Linked DNA regions of Nothobranchius furzeri. Each later gene encodes a partner of the first gene's protein in a complex. Links are inferred from orthologs where the notes say so. Each region holds a gene or a part of one and is shown on either strand. Other genes may lie near its edges. The genes, in order: dhdds and nus1.

The links.
Region 2: the proteins of dhdds (region 1) and nus1 are in contact, whole or in part, in a crystal structure (PDB 7PAX), measured with the Homo sapiens proteins. The link is inferred for Nothobranchius furzeri from reciprocal best matches to the Homo sapiens genes DHDDS and NUS1. Residues at the interface, in NP_995583.1 of Homo sapiens: Arg37, Arg38, Glu81, Asn82, Lys84, Arg85, Arg159, His160, Ile162, Ser163, Val166, Arg167, Met169, Ala170, Trp171, Val173, Glu174, Pro180, Ser181, Ile183, Ser184, Glu185, Leu188, His199, Glu209, Val210, Arg211, Leu212, Ser213, Asp214; in NP_612468.1 of Homo sapiens: His137, Gln138, Pro193, Glu194, Lys197, Ala198, Ile200, Val201, Ala204, Gln205, Phe207, Cys208, Gln209, Val211, Ala212, Arg217, Pro218, Thr219, Leu221, Asp222, Val223, Leu226, Asp237, Pro246, Val247, Asp248, Ser249, Thr250, Leu251, Gly252.

Annotation. Positions count from the first base shown.
Region 1 is NC_091745.1:69,204,101-69,213,585, forward strand, and holds the start of dhdds (dehydrodolichyl diphosphate synthase complex subunit DHDDS), read left to right. Parts: upstream 1-3,640; 5' UTR 3,641-3,778; intron 3,779-3,992; 5' UTR 3,993-4,018; coding exon 4,019-4,081; intron 4,082-7,374; coding exon 7,375-7,491; intron 7,492-7,569; coding exon 7,570-7,712; intron 7,713-9,485. Other genes in the region: ago1 (protein argonaute-1), read right to left, coding at 2,000-2,024. UniProt on the Homo sapiens protein: With NUS1, forms the dehydrodolichyl diphosphate synthase (DDS) complex, an essential component of the dolichol monophosphate (Dol-P) biosynthetic machinery.
Region 2 is NC_091743.1:91,670,160-91,678,893, forward strand, and holds the end of nus1 (dehydrodolichyl diphosphate synthase complex subunit nus1), read right to left. Parts: intron 5,873-8,734; coding exon 5,773-5,872; intron 4,313-5,772; coding exon 4,222-4,312; 3' UTR 3,569-4,221; downstream 1-3,568. UniProt on the Homo sapiens protein: With DHDDS, forms the dehydrodolichyl diphosphate synthase (DDS) complex, an essential component of the dolichol monophosphate (Dol-P) biosynthetic machinery.

The DNA.
Region 1 (9,485 bases):
AGAGCCCCCCCTCCCTCTACATTCCCAGCCTCACCATGGAGACACCACGGCAACACAGTATTGTCATGGATATAAGGGGATCTGTGCGAGTGTGTGTGAAGCGGTGTGAAGGTGCATGGCCGCTGTAGATGGGAGGAGGCAGGGTGCCACTGTGGTCATGCTGGAGAGACCTTGGCCTGTGTGGCCCCGCACTGAGCGCGATCACAAACCAGAAGGAAGAGCCACTTAAGAGAGTCCTAAACTGGTAAAGTTTTGTTTCAAACAGTTGGTGATGTAATCTCACACCACTCAACTCAACATCTGTTAAACCTCCAGGAAGAGTAACGGTCAGAAACCTAATAAAAAAAGATGCTCTGCTGCGTGTTTTAGTCTGTATGTAGAATCACACATCTGATAAAGTCCATAAACACAGATACAAGACATGTGGCGACTGTACACTAGAGGATGCATGAGTGCGAACACGCCAGTGTGTTGTGATTGTTGCACACTCGCGCACAAAGACGCACGCTTCTCCCTCGTGCCAGTGAAGGCAGATGGTGAGAAGTGGAGCCAGCGCTCTCACATATCCCAACACAATGGAGTTCTCTCCCAGGCGGTAAGAATTAAAACTGGAGCATCACAACTTGAAATCTCTCACTACTACATGTCTTTAAACCCAATTCCAAGAAAAACTGCTTAAAAACGGGTTTAGATTGAGTTTAGTTTCATTTGTTTTCAGACAGCTGGTAAAGATTTCCACTTAAATATTTTATTTTCAGTTTATTCTACAATCTAAAACATACAGATGTTTCTTAATCTGACCTCATAATGGAATGAGGTGAAAGTAAAGGGTGGTTTGTCCAACTTAAGGTGTTTTAAAGTGCAAAAATAAATAATTGGATAAATATTGGTCGTTGGGGTACTGGAAAAACAATTCGCTTGTTTTATAAAGTAAACTAATAAGAAAAACTAATGGTCCACCACTTCTTTGACCAGATTATTTGCGTCTTGGCAGTTGACCCTGAAGCAAACATGTTGGATCGATTTTTAAAAACGCATTGAATAGTAGCACTTTAAACACAAAAGCAGTTTAAAACGAGGGGGCCCCCATGGGCCCTTCCCCCTTCCCAAAGAAAATCCCCTGAAAATAGACCCATCACCTAACTTTAATGTTCAATATCAAGTCTATCATTAAGGTGATCATAAATCTGCTTTGAGGTTATGAACAGACAGTTAAATTAAGCAATTAGTTTATTTTATAAAGAAAGTGCTCAGATCACACTTTACATAGATTAGGATTAAGACTGTTTATATTTACCCCTAAAAGGTGAACTTCAGACCTGACACACACACACGCGCACACACACAGTTTTGAACTGATTTGCTCGATTCCACGACTCTTATGTCAATAAGAAAAATCTAAATATAGATCTTTAGCTGCCATCAAATGCATCCATGCAGGATAAAAAACAAAACTTAAAGTGGGAGGCTTCTGCTCCTTTTCGTCTAAAACTCAAATCTAACCCAGATATAACACTTTATTGACCTTGGATGTGCAATTTTACACGATCAGCCTGGGGCTGTCTTTAATGCTGCATGTGACGTGTTGATGTTACAAGCTGGTCCTACTGGCTGAGGATCCAGCAGTGAGAGGGAGGCTGTGTGGGGCATGCGGGGAGCAGCCAGCTGCTGCTGCGGCTTGAAGGCGGGCTTCACCTCGTCCCTCCTCACAGAGATTCCCACGACCTCACTGCCCCCGCACATGGCCGAGGATATTGTCAGCACCCTAATAAGCCTCGTCTGTGGTTATGAACCAGGAAAATAATTGTTTTATATAAACTGTTAGGCATGTAGATAGCTAGAGCCCCTTTTCATCGAACGGTGCAACGGAAGAGGCTGACTACAAGGCTTCCTCCACTTCCCCCTGACGCTCCGATTTTCCGACTGAAATGTGAAGCTGCAATCGGGTGTTTGCAGTGATCACTTGAAATTACTATAAAAAATAAATAAATACACCTACCAGCGCCAGACGGTCCCGGCTCCATCCCATTCACTTAGCCGCGCTGTACAAGCTAGCTACTCCGGGGTGCTGTGGCCAAACCGCCGGCCCCTTCAGGCTGGAGGCGTCTCAGACTTCCAGCCCCCTCCTCTCGGCCTGTAGTCTTCACCCTCCTCGGTGTACCCCCGCCCCCTGCCCCTTACCAGATCCCCCCCAGACCCGGAGAGGACTTGAGGCTAACGGCTGATTTGCCCGTTGACCCCGGAGCTGCTAACGGTGGAGCTGGAGGGAGATAGCGTCTTAATTCCAGCCGCTTTTCTCCAACCGCGCAGCGTGGCTTCCTCCGTGATTTGGCCGATTGTCCGCGGTGCTGTGATTTGTCGTCCGTGTGATGCTCCTGCCCACGGTTCAAGCAGGATTCTCCAGCGGAACAAAAAAGGCCAGCCCCTCACCCCCCAAAAATCTAAAACTTCTTCACCGCCATTTAAAAAAGTGCAAACGAACTGTTGATGAAGTTACTGTCACACCCTAGCGGCGGAGAGCGGAACTACACTGCAGCTATTCGAAAAAGTAAAAGGCTCAAAGTTTAGTGGAAACGTGAACTAATTTAGTTTGTTGGTGTAATGCTGGCATTATCTTAACAGCACCATTTATTTAAAAAATCATAATAAATAAATACTAAAAGTAGTCTAATATATACTAAATATTTGTACTGTTTGCTTTTTTAGAGAAAAATAAAACAAAAACAATACTTCAAGGAACTACATTTCAAAAACATTTTTAAAAAATCAAGGTGCAAAAGTTATGTAACAAGCTTGTATATTTTGATTAAACTTCAGTACGGTCCCTTTATACATACCTGATACATGATCATGTCTGGGAATATTCCTAAAAAGGCAACAGATTGTGTGAAGTATTTCTTTCCAGATCTGGACTTTGCTGGAACTTTGACTCTGAGTCTGAGATGCAACCTGGCAGCAATGGATGATATCCTAGAGGCCACAGGTGTCTAGGCCAGGTGTGCATGGGGGTCAGTTAACAGGAAAAAGTGCAAATGTTTACCACGTTGCACGGCATGACAGGAATTGTCATGCACCATGAAGAGCATAAACCCCACTGACTGCACCAGTGTAGAATCTGGCAATGGGTCCCAGCAAAATGAATGAGCAGCAAGAATGCTACATTAGCAGGACAGTATTTAATTGACTGCTAATCTAACTGACCTAAGATTATACATAGAGTAAAGAAAGTAGTATAGGGAATAATTTCTGATCTACATTAATTCTTACCTAAAACTACTCCTACAGATTAGAATGATTGTAAAACTAAAACTACTAAACTAGCAAGGCTGCATTCATTTTTGAAAAAGTTCAGGACACCAGTGGTGCCAATGCAAATTTTAGCCAATTCTGGTGACCTTTAATAAATGCAAATGAAGCTCTACTGTGCCTGTAAGTGAAAACAGGACATTTTGGAGGGTCTATGACTCTCAAACTATCATTCAGTCCATTTCTGATTTAGTTTAAGACCCAACGTTATACTTGTTATGCTTCTTATCTTCATTCTTTGATTTTATCTTGTACAAATTCCGCGTCCATCCCCATGTTTTATAAATCTAATAACGGCTGACAGGAAGTCGTCATCGTGCGCATGCGTTGTTTCGCTCCAGTCAGGAAGTGGTCGTCATCGAAAGAGCTGTGAGTTGGAAGGTGTAAAGAAATGTGAGGAAAATCGTCGTAGCCGTGGCAGAACGACTCGTTCTTCGTGGGTTTGAATGAAAGACGCAGTTTTCCACCGACGGTGAGTGTTTTCTAGATAAATATAGTACAGACTTGTGCTGGTTTTCAGCCTCACAGCAGGTCAGTTGGAGCCAGTTCTCTGGTTGAAATCAATCACTGGCTGCACGATGAAATTTAATACAGCACACGATATGGAAATAATCGGCAATAACCAGTTCTGCAGCTCAAGGTGAATCATATACGGTTCACTTCTTAAAACTGTGTTTAATTTACAGGATTTCAGAGCGTTTGAAACCGGAAAATGTCGTGGATAAAAGAAGGTGAATTAAATCTGATTGAAAGGATTTCTGCCAACATCCTAAAGGTAAGAATAAGCTTCTGTTCATTTTAAAACGACTCTTATTGTGTGTCTGTTGTTAGCATTTCAATCAGCTTCAAACTCTACTCATCACCACCCTGTTCTGCGGGTATTACTGTGTATAATCCTCAGAAGGAGCACCGAGATCCGGAAAGTACTTGTAAGGTAGTATTTTATTATGTGTGGGAAAATAAATCAGGAGTAACAAAAACGAGTTGTAATAACTTCTCGTTTGGCATAATGGATCTTACTGGCATTGTTGGGGTACGTTTTAAGCGTATTAATTAAAATTGAAGATTTTCTTTATAGTTTATTATTCTCTGAAGTATTACTGCTGTGCAGTTGACTTAAATCCTAAAGCATGTGACCTCTTAAACCATTCTTGGCATGAAATCAATGTAGAGTGGGAACATGATGTGGCTTTGCACAAATAATGATGCCTTTCTATTGATCTGGAGAAAACTGATAAGATAATGTTATAATTTTATAAAATAACACCTAGTTTTAGCCTTTTTAAACATAACACTCCTCTCTGAAGCATTCATTTGCATATCTTATTATAGTTATACATGCATATTATTGGCTTGGCTGTTGCACACACTTGTGGCATAATTCTTGTGCATTTACTTATTGCAGATTGTTCATGTTGTAACATAATATTTTGCAATTACAGTCCCAAAGGTCTATTTGAACAGTCTGAAATGGTCAAAACTATGCCAGATTACTTGCAGCCACTTGGGGGGACTTAGGAAAAGTATTTCCTGTCTTGCTTCACACAAACCATCAGTTGTTGGAACGTAAAAACATTTAGAACATTTTATTTTAAATGAATCTAAACAAGCATAGAAAAAAAACATAACAAAACAGGGTTTGCAAGCAAAAACAAAACAGTTTTTTTAATTTATCTTTGAATTCGCTCAATCTTGTGTTGCATTTTTCCCATTTCTCCCCAAATGAGTCCTCCTTTATCTAATCTTGTAGATTAATTTCTCCATTTCTTTTATTTCCTGTATTATTTCTCCCATTGCATCTGTGTACAAGCATCTACCTTTGCAAATCTGCAAAACAAGCTTAAAACATTTGTTGTCATTTGTTGGATTACTTGTGTATTAATTGTCCTGGGTCACTTTGCTCCAGGGTTCAATCTGACCTTTAATAAACTAATTAAAAATAGCTGGAATTGCCTTGATCTCATTCTGCAGTCACTTATATGAATATCAGGCACATACACTACATATTTCTCTATTCATATACCGTCAGTAGAGGTGCTGAAAAAAATTGATTCAAGTCTGAATCAGGATTCTTATTTATAAAGATTCAGAATCGAGAATCGATTCTAAGAACTCAAATATTTGGCATGTTACAGGTTTGAGATGCACTTTTTTGATCTTTGTTAGGAGAGTCAGTACTCTGTTTACTTTTGTGGTTCCATAAATTGAGATGATTTATGTTTGAATCTGCTGATAAGAGGGCGCTTGAATGTAATTTTTTCCATACTCAGAAATTTGAGATATTCTCATATTTATTTTCTAAGTTGATAAATGAGTACTCAGGATTACTCATGTGACTTGTTTCTACACATACTTAAGTATTTGACTGTATTACTTTCAAAGCTACCGTTAGGTAACTACAGATTTGTTATACTTTACAAGGTAAGCAAAAATAATTGTTGCCTTTTGGTCAAAAGATTGCTTCTGTTTACAGTTTTAGAATCACTTTATTTTACATTGTAAATTTGCATTTTTGGAGCAAGACCAGTTTAAAGTCAAATAAAAAATGCCCCATAGCTTTAACTAACTTGTACAACAAAGTAGTTCATCCTGGAGCTGACACTCTTTGTTAATACTGATTGTGAATCGATTTAAATTGAGAATCGAGAATAGATTCTGAATCGAATCGGCACCCCCAAGAATGAGAATCGGAATCAAATCGTGAGTTGCTCTAAGATTCACATCCCTAACCGTCAGCATGACAGTCGTGCTGGACACAAAGTCATTTGGTTACTAATCCAATCAGGGATTGCCTAGATGACGGAGGCTGAATTGCCCCCACAGGGGTATATTAGATAATGCCAACAATGTGGAGGGACTCTTTTGGAAACTTCCAAAGAGCCATGAATTCCTTTATTTGTGCTATTTTCTCAGCTTTTTTTTTTAAATAAAAACCAGGATAAAATTGAATCAACCTCGTTTTTGTTGAAGCATTTCTGTGTTAAAGTTAAAGCGAGTAGCCAAAGTTCAAATAGCTCAAAACCTTTGAGTGTCTCTCCAGTGTTGAAAGAAGAACCACACTCATGTATTTAGCAACAGAACACCACTGGTGTGATGGGTTCTCTGCTCAACAATACCAGAGAAGGAGAAATGGCCAGCTGCTACCACTTTAGGACAAGCTATCAGAGTCCTAAAAAGAAATACACCATTTGAAGTCACAGACAACGAAAGACATTTGGATGTAGAAAATGGTGACTGGTGTTCAGCTCTCTCTCTCGTTTACTGTGACGATGTGTGTTCCAGTATCATGCAGACGTGGCCTAGGGTTGATGGGTGGCGGAGGGGTAAGAGTTCCGTGTTTGTGTTTAAAATCTAGCTTGTTTTGCAGCTTCAAGCCATTTTTTGTGATAGTTTTCATCCCGGCAGTAAGCAGGATTTTAATCTGTATATATAATATATATAATCTATTGGTCCCTTCTGTGTACCGTTCCATGCATGTATCGTAGGTACAAGTCTTTACATGTTGATGCTGGTACCTACTATCTGGTGTAATGTTTTTACTATTCTAAAAGACATGAGTGTGATCTGGGTTTGTGTGGCCACAGCTGATCTATCTTTATAAAGATTCAAATTTGGTTCTTTTCCATTCTTGTGAATGTCTTGTATTAAGGTCTTTGAACAAGGGTTCCCACGTGTCTCTGGAAGTTCTTCATCCAGCTCTGTTTCCCATTTGACCTCAGGACTGTAAGATACGGTGACATGTTGTATCTGGTGTAGCAGATTATTCAGACACACCGGTGCGGTAATATTACGCCGATTTGCCGGCACTGTGTGTCTTGCAAAGACGACTAGAAAGAGGAAGCGTCATATGAGACACTGATGCCAGGCCGGACCGCCCTTTCCACAGACACAGGTGTCCAACTTTTAACAAAAGCTGGTACCTTTTCATTTTTTGTCTCTTAAAAAAAAGTGTTCCCTCATTATGTCAAGGCAGACATGCTTAGGTTTTCTTTGCACTTTTATGGTTGTGAAAGTTATTGTTTACCTGTTTAGCTCTACTCTAATCTCTTTTGATGCCATCTCTCCCAGACAGGACCCATGCCTAAACATGTGGCCTTCATCATGGACGGTAATCGACGTTTTGCACGCAAGAAAAACCTGGAACGCCAAGAAGGCCATATGCAAGGATTCAACAAGCTCGCAGAGGTCAATTTTCATTAGTCTCACTACGCAAATGTCCTCGCATATCAATTCCATCATGTTTAACCCTCCTCCTTACACCAGACGTTACGTTGGTGCAAGCACCTCAACATCCCAGAGGTGACGGTGTATGCCTTCAGCATCGAGAACTTCAAGCGCACTAAGGAAGAGGTGGATGGGCTGATGGAGCTGGCCAAGCAGAAGTTTGAGAGGCTGTTGGAGGAACGGTGAGTTTGACTCAACTTTTCCACTTTACTGTTTGTTGCACAACAGCCATTTTATTCATCCCGTGATTCACGGCTTCCTTGAAGCTAACTTTAAGCCCGGCTGTGTGGTTAGAGTAAACACGTGTCTCTTTATAACCCAGAATGCTGTTTCAGTTTGAGCACCCTTCAGAAAAGTGCGAAGTAGGGATTTTTCATTTGGATCAGCTGCTTGTCGGTGACAGAGGATTTTTCCCTTACTTCTGCTTTTTATTACTAAACTGATGCTGATTGGATGTTAATGTTGTTGAACTTAAAAGTATCTTAAAGCAGCATTCATGAGTTTGCCCCCTTCAGAAATTACTGTGTTATATATATATATATATATATATATATATATATATATATATATATATATATATATATATATATATATATATATATATATTATAATTTTTTTTTTACATTGTTCTTTGATATAATGTAGAACAGAATAGAATTCAACTTTATTGTCATTGCACATGTACAGGTACAGGGCAACGAAATGCAGTTTGCATCCATCCAGAAGTGCTTTAGCCGTGATATAGATGTATTACAATTAGGGCTGGGGGTAAACGATTATTTTTAAAACGATTATTCTGACGATTATTTTATCGAATAGTCGACTATTCTAATGACTATTTAGAAAATTAATCTAATGATTATTTTTCTATTGCACAATTAACAAAAACCAGAAAATCTCAAATAAATTCCTCAAAAAAAATTGATAAATTCTTACTGTAAGAGAATAAACACTACAGGCCTTCCATTTTGTATAACACTGCTTTTATTGTGTTGGTTGGTTATGTTCTGGTGACGTGTAGAACTTGGGAGTGCAGGCTGCTGCCTGAGAGGTGGTAGAAGATGGAGTGTCTCCATGCTGCTTTGTTTTGGTCACTTATGTGCGTGAGGCGAGTGGTCTTACGGGTTAAACCAAACTCAGGTGATATTTTACAGTAAACCGAAAACCCACAACACTCTAAATGTAATAAAAGGGAGATCTACACCACAAAAAAGATGAACTCTAAACCAAAACGTAACAGCTTATCCCAACGCAAGAAGCTGTTAGCGAATATGCTAACAGTAGCTTTACCAACATTAAGTTCAAGTTACCAAGTTTAAATAAACCGAAAACACCCAGCAGCAAACAGACCAGCACGGAGGAGAGACTGCTACTACCAAAACAGCTCTCCTAATGTCTGAAAGAAGCTCCTTTATGAAGGGAGAAGCGCTCCCGGTGATTTTCTACATCTGCGATAGACACGAAGCAGCGCATCTGACCCCGGAAGTTGTTGTCCGTTGCCGGGAGACGAAGGGGCAAAACAGGAAAATAATCTAGTAGTGGACGGACGTTGTTCCGGGTCTTCGGTATTTGGCGGAGATGTTAGTGAAGGCGGAGAAGAGGGCGAACTAGAGGAAAAACGGGCAGATTCCTCCTCTATTTACAAACTCCTGGGGATGCAACAAGTGGGCGCGGTGCGTCGACTTCCGGATCTGACGTCGACAAATTTTTAGAATCGAGCCGTCGACTTCGTCGAGGCTTCGCTACAGCCCTAATTACAATATATATTAGCAATAATATAGATGTGTAAGTATATTACAGAAATGGATCTATTACGTATGTTATAATGTACACGATATGAAGTATGTTATGAATATTCTATGACTACAAGTATGTACAGGCTGTAGTTAATACAAGCAGTCCATGAGTTTAACGTGGGTCATATGTCAGGAGGCACAGTTCAGGAGTCTGACAGC
Region 2 (8,734 bases), on another chromosome or scaffold:
CTAAGTCAGACAGGTTACAACAGTTTGGAAAGTGAAACAGAGACTTCCTGTTTCCTGGCAGCGCCATGAGCGCCACAGGTGTGGTCTTCAACGGGAGGCTGATTCAAAGCAGGTGTGTGGAAGAACAGTGGAGCACACGGGGGCCGGTACTACAGGAAAATGTTCTGTTTGTTTACATTTAAGGGGCGGGGCTTAACAGCCGTACCTGAACCAGTGACTGGGGGTTGGTTTCAGCTCAACATAGACGTCTGACTAACAGACAAACGATGGCTGAACAGAGTGAGAGGAATACCATTTAAACCCATTGTGGGTCGCGGCGAAACTCGGTAACAAAAACCAAAACCGTGATCATTTTGATCATTACTGAAGTCTGAATTATTAAATGTGACTATCCAGAGTTCACATTTTAAAGTGGCTGCAGACACACACTCACACCAGCAGGAGGCAGGGTGGAGTTTTTCTGTTCCGATTCAAATTTACAGGAATATTTTAGACCCAAAAACTTCATAAATCACATTAGAATCATGACGGACTTCTAAAAATGTTTTGAAGAAGACACAAACATTTAGACGTTAGTTTAGACCACATGCAACCTTCTATGACAGCAGCAGAGAAGAGCTGCTACGGGAGCCCGGAGGTTCAAACAGGAAACCTGTGTGTGGAATTTTGTTGTCTCTGGAAACACTGATGCTTGGAAAATGTGCTGAAAAACATCAATGGATGCCACAGAGCCTGTGGGGCTCACACTGGAAGGTGGTGTGTTTTCTGACACACACGCTACAGCACCAGTGTTTTGCCTTCGTTCTGCCACCTTCACAGGACTCTTGAGTTCTTCAACAGGAAGGAAGTGCGTAATTCAGAGGGCATGACAAAATAAGAGCATGCTAACTGTTTAACTGATTCTACTGGTTCTGTGGTCATCTGAAACCAAACCCATGGGGACATGTTTTAATTTCACATATTTAACCAGCTGTTTGGACTCCACTGATGTGGCGGAAAGCCTGATGAGGGGTGCCCAATCCTGGTCCTGGAGGGCCGGTATCCAGCAGGTTTTAGTTTTAACCCTCCTTCAACACACCTGGATTCAATCAGCAGGTGATTAACAGGCTTCTGCAGAGCCTGATGAGCTGCTGCACAGGTGATTCAACCTCTGAATCAAGTGTGTTGGAGCAGAGAAACCACAAAACCTGCTGGATACCGGCCCAGGTCGGACCAAAGCGTGAGAAACAACCCAGCCACCGTGTTTGCTCGGGTTTTGTCTCGTTGCCTCTTTTTCACGTGTGGAGTTTGTCGGGGTTGGGCGGTGCCAGATCAATAATACAACCTGGTTTTATGATGACAGCACTGGATGTAGGCACATCTAACATCTGCAGTCCACACAGGCTCCACCTCCTCGTACAGGTGAGCTCCTGCCTCAGAGCAAAGGAGAACAGCACACAGATGTAGTTCAGCTTGGTGCCATCACTGCAGAAGTCACATATGCGGTGCAGGGCTCTCACCCGAACCCCGCCTCTGTAGAACGACCCGTGCCTGTTCAGAAACATCCACACTAGCACCAGCAGACCGACTGGTCATGTTGGGCTGCTGCTGGGAAACGCAGACGATGACCTGTGACCTTTGATGTGACTGGGTCACTGCCAGGTGTTTTATGCTAGTCCTGACTGATGAAGGTGGTCTAGGTGTGCATGAAGGCTGAAGAACATCAGGGCTGTCTCACCTGGGCTCTTCAGGTTGTATTTGTTCTCCATGCTGCTCGTTAACGAGGACGTGTTCTTCAACCAGCTGCTAACACGTCAGCTAACTAGCTTCTGGTTAGCAGCCCGGTGTGCTAGCTCTCTCTGGGGCTCAGATAAAAGCCTTCAGACTAGATGTCTCCTCTCTGCCGGATGATCACACACGCAGCGACCCCCGGAGAAGTCTGGATCCAGCTTATAGACCAAGAATGTCCGTTTCTCAGACGTTTTCACGCGTTTAAGTTTCGAAACCATTCGCTATCCACGTGACGTCATCTTTGGAACGTAAACAGGAAGAAGTGGTTTCTTCTTCTTGCTGGGGGTAAGGCCATTACCGCCACCAACTGGATGGAGGGTGATGCTCACCTTGCTCCGGGAGAGACCAGGAGACACACTTGGCTTCCCCGTTCTTCTTCAGAGACGCAGCCGTAGCTTTAGACGTGTGTTTGGATCGTTGTCGTGTTGGAAAAGTGCACGACGACCAAGTGCATCTTCTCCTTCAGTGTATCACATTGTTGAGTTTATAACTCGTGCAGCCCACATAAGGACACTGCCACCACCATGCTTTACTGTAGGCACCATGCATTTCTTTGAAATCCTCATCTTCACGACGCCATACGGTTTTGAAAGCATTAGTTCCAAAAACAGTGATCTTTGTCTCATCCCTCCAGACTCCCAGTAGTCTTCATCTGTTCCAGCGTGGGCCCTAGATAACCCCAGGTGTGCTGTTTGTGCATGGGCCTCAGGAGAAGCTTCCTTTGTGGACGATCCCCTTGCATGCCATTCCTCTGCACGTGTGCCGTATGATGTCACAGGAAACGGTCCAGTTGGGCTTTCTCCTGCTTTAGCTAACTGCGGTGAACTTACATGGTGACTTTCTTCAACTCCTCTCATCAGAAGACGTTCCTGTCCAGATGTGAACTTCTGTGGACGGCCTGGACGTCTCTGTAAGCTGGTTGCTCTTCCATCCTTCTTATATGTTTGGATCACCGTTGCTGCAGTATTGTGACTGACGTGAAGCTTTGCTGATCTTCTGCTGGCCCTCACCTTTTTGTGTAAAGAAATGATTTCCTGTCTCAGATGTTGACATTTCTCTTCCATGTGGAGCCGTTGCTGACAGCATGAAATGGGAGGGGCTAGTGAAGTAACGCCCTTTTATAGTCACCTGTCTGCTGGACACATCTTAGATGAACCATTAGACTCACCTGTGGTTGAACACCTGTTCATTTGAATTTGTAGTCTTGAGTCTTTCCTCCTAAGATTACATCTGGGGTGTACTCATGTATGCAACATGGACTTGAATGGATCTGTTAGGAAAATCACTTTAGTGTGAAAATGAACAAATGTTGTTTGTAATCGATGGCCCACACCTGTGGGAGGGTTCTGTAGTATGGTACCTCAGAGAAGATGCTGGTTCTGGAAGCAAACTAAAGCTTCTCTGACTGATGTAGAGGGGTGTTGGTTTTATGTTTATGTTTATTTAACAGACGCTTTTATCCAAAGCGACTTACAGTTTATAACCTATAGGGCATGTTGTGATCTGTGGGGGAAACCGGAGTACCCGGAGGAAACCCACGCATGCATGGGGAGAACACGCAACTCCACGCAGAAAGGCGAGTTTTTTGAACCTGCGACCTTCGTGCTGCGAGGCAACAGTGCTAACCACTGCGCCACCATGCAGGTTTTATTAAAGCTTTATAGTTTTAAATCTCAGGTAACTTCATAACATCCTAGCAGACTCTGATTTTGGTTTTTAGTTTTTGAACTCAAACACACGAGAGCCTTTTGTGTATTAGAAGTACAAAGATGCACGGATTCTTTAAAACAAACAAATGTTCCTTTGATTAAAATAGTTTAATGTGCCTAGTTCACAAGGTCATTTTTGCCATTTTTATCAAACATAAAGGTAATTTAGTGGCTAACCCTAACCCACCATCAGCTTAGAGATTTAGGCTCAAATCTACTAAAGTCTGGACAACACTGGATGAATTAAAGCACTCACAACCTCAGTAACACACACACACACACACACACACTTTATAGCTTTGAATTATTCAGGTTTTCTGGGAATACTTGAAAGAGCGGTGCAGCTGCAGCTTCTGTTGTGATCATCGACCTTCGCTCTTTAACATTAAGAGAACCCGGCTGGTCTTATTTACTTGACTCTTGTTTACTCTGTGGTAATGTCACTGGATGATCAGCACTTTATTTCACACCTTGAGTTGAACAGAGGAGAACAACCGTCTGACAACACCTGAATGCGTGTGCTCAGAAAAATTCTGTCCCTGAGACAGACGTAATCCTCTGGAGCTGCTGCCGGTGGATGATGAGAGACAGGAGGGCCTCGTGTCAGAGTGAGCCGGTCTATGGTTTGTGTCCAGAAATCCTTGGAATGAATTTATTCTAAGAGCAGGCCCAGATCTCCAAGTTATCCTGGAGGCAGCGCTGAAACGGATCAGAAGCGCGATGAGGGGAGTCCGAACCTCCATCACTGTCCCAGCCTCTGCTGACAGGAGCTGTACCGCTGCAGGACGCCCAAAAGGTCCTCATAGGAGACGTTTCTGTGGGATGGCAGGGAGCTAGAGACAAGCAGGGAACAAACTTTAAACTGGAACCATCGCAGCTCAACGCTGCCACCTGCAGGCAAACAGTTTTATTATCCTAAACAAGCAACACTCCGACTGAAGTTAGCTGGTTTAAACCTTCAGATGTGATCTGACAGCAGCTTCCTGCTACACCAGGCCCCCACAATGCAACTCTGAAATTGAGTCAAACCCGGAAGTGAAATAAATTGCAGTTCCACCCTCATCCACTAGGGGCTGGTGTCAGAAGCGAGCAAATCCTCATTGACTCCCATGTTAAAAATACCAATTTCACAGCAGAAATAAACATGTTTACAGCCTGGTACCAGAACATGTTTTTGGTTTAAATGATCTAGTTTACACTCATGACAACTCTGAGGGGGGTGAATGTTTTTCTCACTCTTCTGTTTAAGTGTATTAAAAGCCTAAAATTCTGTATAATTAATGAGCATCAGACCCACGTGACCACAGAGCTAGCTCCGTGGAAAGGCCTCAGTAGAGCCTCGGTCTGGCCTGGAAACTGTTCCGCCATTTTGAGTCTCTGTGTGTGTGTATTCTTTTTTGGATATTATTTGTGCAATTGTTGGACAAAATGACTTGCTGTGGCATTAATTGCACTAATAGAGCGTCCAAGGAGTCTCCACTTGATTTTTTTCGGTAAGTAAAATTATATTTATGTATTTTAGGTCACTGCCGAGCTGAGCTTAGATTTTAACATGTACTGTTTAACCATGAAATTTAAATATGATAGGGTAAAACCCAGTGCATTTAACATAATGCTGCACTTTAGAAAATGGGTTGAAATAGAACATGTTGGTGGAGCTGGGTTCCCACTATCGGCTTGTGGAGCTCTCCGAGACCTCTGTGTTCCACCCGGTTTTACCCAGCGGTCAGCCCGGCGTATCTCTGACTCAGAAGCTCTGGTGTTGTGCACAGTTAACTCCGGTTGTAGCTAGGTTGCTACCTCCGTTAGCTTAGCTCCCACCTCTGCGTTAGCTTTGGGTTAGCTTCAGGTTAGCTTGTAGCTAGTTCGACCGGGTGTCGTCGGTTGATCCCAGCCTTACAGCCCCACCCTCAGCTCCTCCTCTCTTCCTTTTATGGAATTGTCTGGGCTTGACGGAACCTGTGACACGGTCAAAATGGCGGTGGTGGCCACCTCCCATTTTAGTACAAAAACTTGTTACTGGAGCCTATGGAAACCCATTGTCCGTATATTTATGTCGATGTGCTACACCTGAAGGTTCACCTGGATCACACATGTTAGCACAGCTGCTTCACCATCATGACAACCCAAAAGGAGACTTCCCCGTGAAGATGAGGAGCAGAAAGGTTCTGTGTTTATGTTTCATGTACAGTAAGAAGCTGCTCATGTCTAAATGTCTGGATAGACAGACGTAATCCTGAAGTTATGAAGCAATAAAGGCAACAAGGAGACGGAGAGTCAGACGGGAGCTCACATGAATTCAGTGAGTCTGATGTGCCAGGGGAGGAACCCCAACGTGCTGTTGACTGGGCCAAACTTCACCACCAGCTCAGGGTCCGGAATGTTCTTCGACTCTGGAAAAAACAAAACACACATGTCAGCGAAACGTATGTCTTAAGCCAACAGAAACATGGCGTGTTTAAGCTCTTAATAACCTAGAAGTTCATCCCAGTAATAACAGGATTAACAACGCTGGGGCCGGGCGATACGGCCTAAAACCAATACCACCACATAGAGGAGTTCACCTCGATAGTGTAACGTGAGGAAATATGGGTTTTCTGTGCAAAAGGTCATTTGACTCGGCTGGGTCGCTGAGAACTTTCACCCACAGATTGTGACCTTTGCAGACATGAAGTCTGCTGGAAACCATAACATCTGAACACCTGCAGTACCAGAAGAAGGAGTTCTCATGGAAAAGTAGTCATGACATAACAAGTCTTAAAACTTTGTTTCTTGATTTTAATGTTAAAATAATCATTATCATTTTGCTCATTATAAATGTGTTTAATCAAATGAATGATTCTTATGCTTTGGGTAATTATAATGGATTAATGAATCCATACTTAGACAATGTTTGAGGATGTTTGTTACCGACCTTCACACACACACTCACACACACCCACACACAGATTCTCACAGTAAACTCCAAAACACATTTGCTGACGCACACGTTTGCTTTGAGAAGAGAAAGGCTTTTGGTAAGTTTCAGTCTTATGATTTCAGTTCGTGCTTGACAACGAAAGAAAGAGGACCTGAATAAACGCTAAAGGGGGGACAGAGCCGGTCGGCTAGTTCCCCCCCCCCCCCCCCACGCTGTTCCTGCCAAGCCAGGCAGAATAGCTGAATCGCAACTTCTAACGCAGACTCTTTACCGAGTCTTTTGATTTCTGAGTGAACTAAACTTAACAAACGCATCGACAAAACGCTTTTGCATCGACGTGTACCGAGGGCATCTCTGGACCGGGCCGCGGACACCTCCGTCTCCTCTGCCAGCCGCTGGTGTCACCTGGATGAACATCCTCTGGCGTCCCGGATCCAACAGGGAGTCCGATTTTCGGTGAGGCAGAACACAACAGATAGCGTTTTGATGCATCTTTTCCAACTAAACCTAAGTTTATTCAAACCATCACTTTTCACCCAGACACCTGTTTCTTCCTGAAGCAAAATCAGATGCACACACGCATCCATCTCACCTCATGTTCAATTCTCACTACACTTTGCACACACACGCATCCATAATCACATCATATCACTCTCAACCTTCAGCACCTCCAACAGAAGGTCTATTTGAGCAAGAACAGCATATCAACTGTTAAAGATTGTCCCACAAAGTTGCCAATGTTGATTGTTATTTCCTGTTTGTCAATTTCAAAATCATTAGTTTAATTTGAAGAATTAAAACTTTGAATTGTCGAACTTGTTTTCTTTATTGAATTGAAACACAGACACACAGATATTATCGACAGTTTATCGATGAAAACAACCTTTGAGTCTTCTTAAAACTATACAATTTGGTTATTAATTTAATAAAATTAATATCACAAATTAACATGTAGAATGGTTCCTCTTTCATAAAAGAGCATAAACAACAACGCTAAAGTTTGACCAGCCAGCCAGTTCTACAATAGCGATAAGTGGACGATAACTACAGCTATGCACAGAGACAACAGTTGTCCACTAGATGGGGCTGTCACTCGTACTGGTGGTACAGCTTCTTAAAGGGACATGAATGTTGCCAACCTATCTAATTTATTGATACGGGAGAAATTATCTCGATAAGCGTCAGAAATTTCAATAACGATGAATTTTGGACTTACTGCCCAGCCCTAAACCAAAGTTTAACCCAGTAGGTGTGCTTCCATTAACAGAACTTTAGGCTAAATTTACAGGAAGTTCCGGCGTGAGCCCGTCTCCCCTGGACCAGGCCGGCCAAACGGCCATTTTCAGGGACTTTCTCAGTACCTGATCAGGGTGGGCACTTGGAGCAAAAAGTTATTATCAGGAGAAGGAGAATGTTTAAGTGGTTAGCAGCAGTGTGCTAGCCGATGGCCCCCTCCATGAGACCACCACAGCTCAGCAGAACATCGTTGTAGCTTCTTCTGGGGAGAAAAACACTTTTTGCTTTCTTTGACGTTGGATGTGCTACTACTAGTTTATCCGTTTAATTATAGATCCACTAGGATAAATACAATAAAGTTTATCTCTCACCTAATAGAATATTTACTAAGAAATCACAATATAACCATAGAAACACTACGTGCGCGTGCGTGCATGTGTGTGTGTGTGTGTGTGCGTGCGTGTGTGTGTGCGCGTGCGTGTGTGTCTGCTCTGTCTTCTCCATCCCCAGTGAGTCGTGGAGGATGGCTGCTTATACTGAGCCAGGATTCTCTGGAGGTTTCTTCCTGTTAAAAAGGAGTTTTCCTCTCCACTGTCGCTGCATGCTTGCTTAGTATGAGGATTGCTGGGTTCCTTATATAGGAAACATTATTTCTGATTGGCTTAATGAACTGTGAATTGGAATGTTTATTATGTGAAGGTCCTTGAGACGACTCTTGTCGTGATTTGGCGCTTTATAAATAAACTTGAATTGAATGTTCAGCACCTTGGGCTTCCCGACAGGGTTGCAGAGGGCGCTTTATAAATAAAGCTTTGATTGATTAAAACTGCTGTTACTAAACTCCCAACACGGGAAAAAGGGAGGAATTCCCCCATGATGACGTCATTCACGGGGCTTTGTGGTCTCACAGAGCGCTGTAAAAAACAGATTTTTATGGTCATTGAACGCCACATTGGACATCACACAGCTGCTCTCTTCCTCTGAATGGATGCAGTTACATTAAACTTGTAATGCTTTGTGGCGCTGATCAGTGACATGGCTCACTGCCAAAGCAGTTCAGATACGCTGACGTCCTGGAAGGACTGAATGGAGACACAAC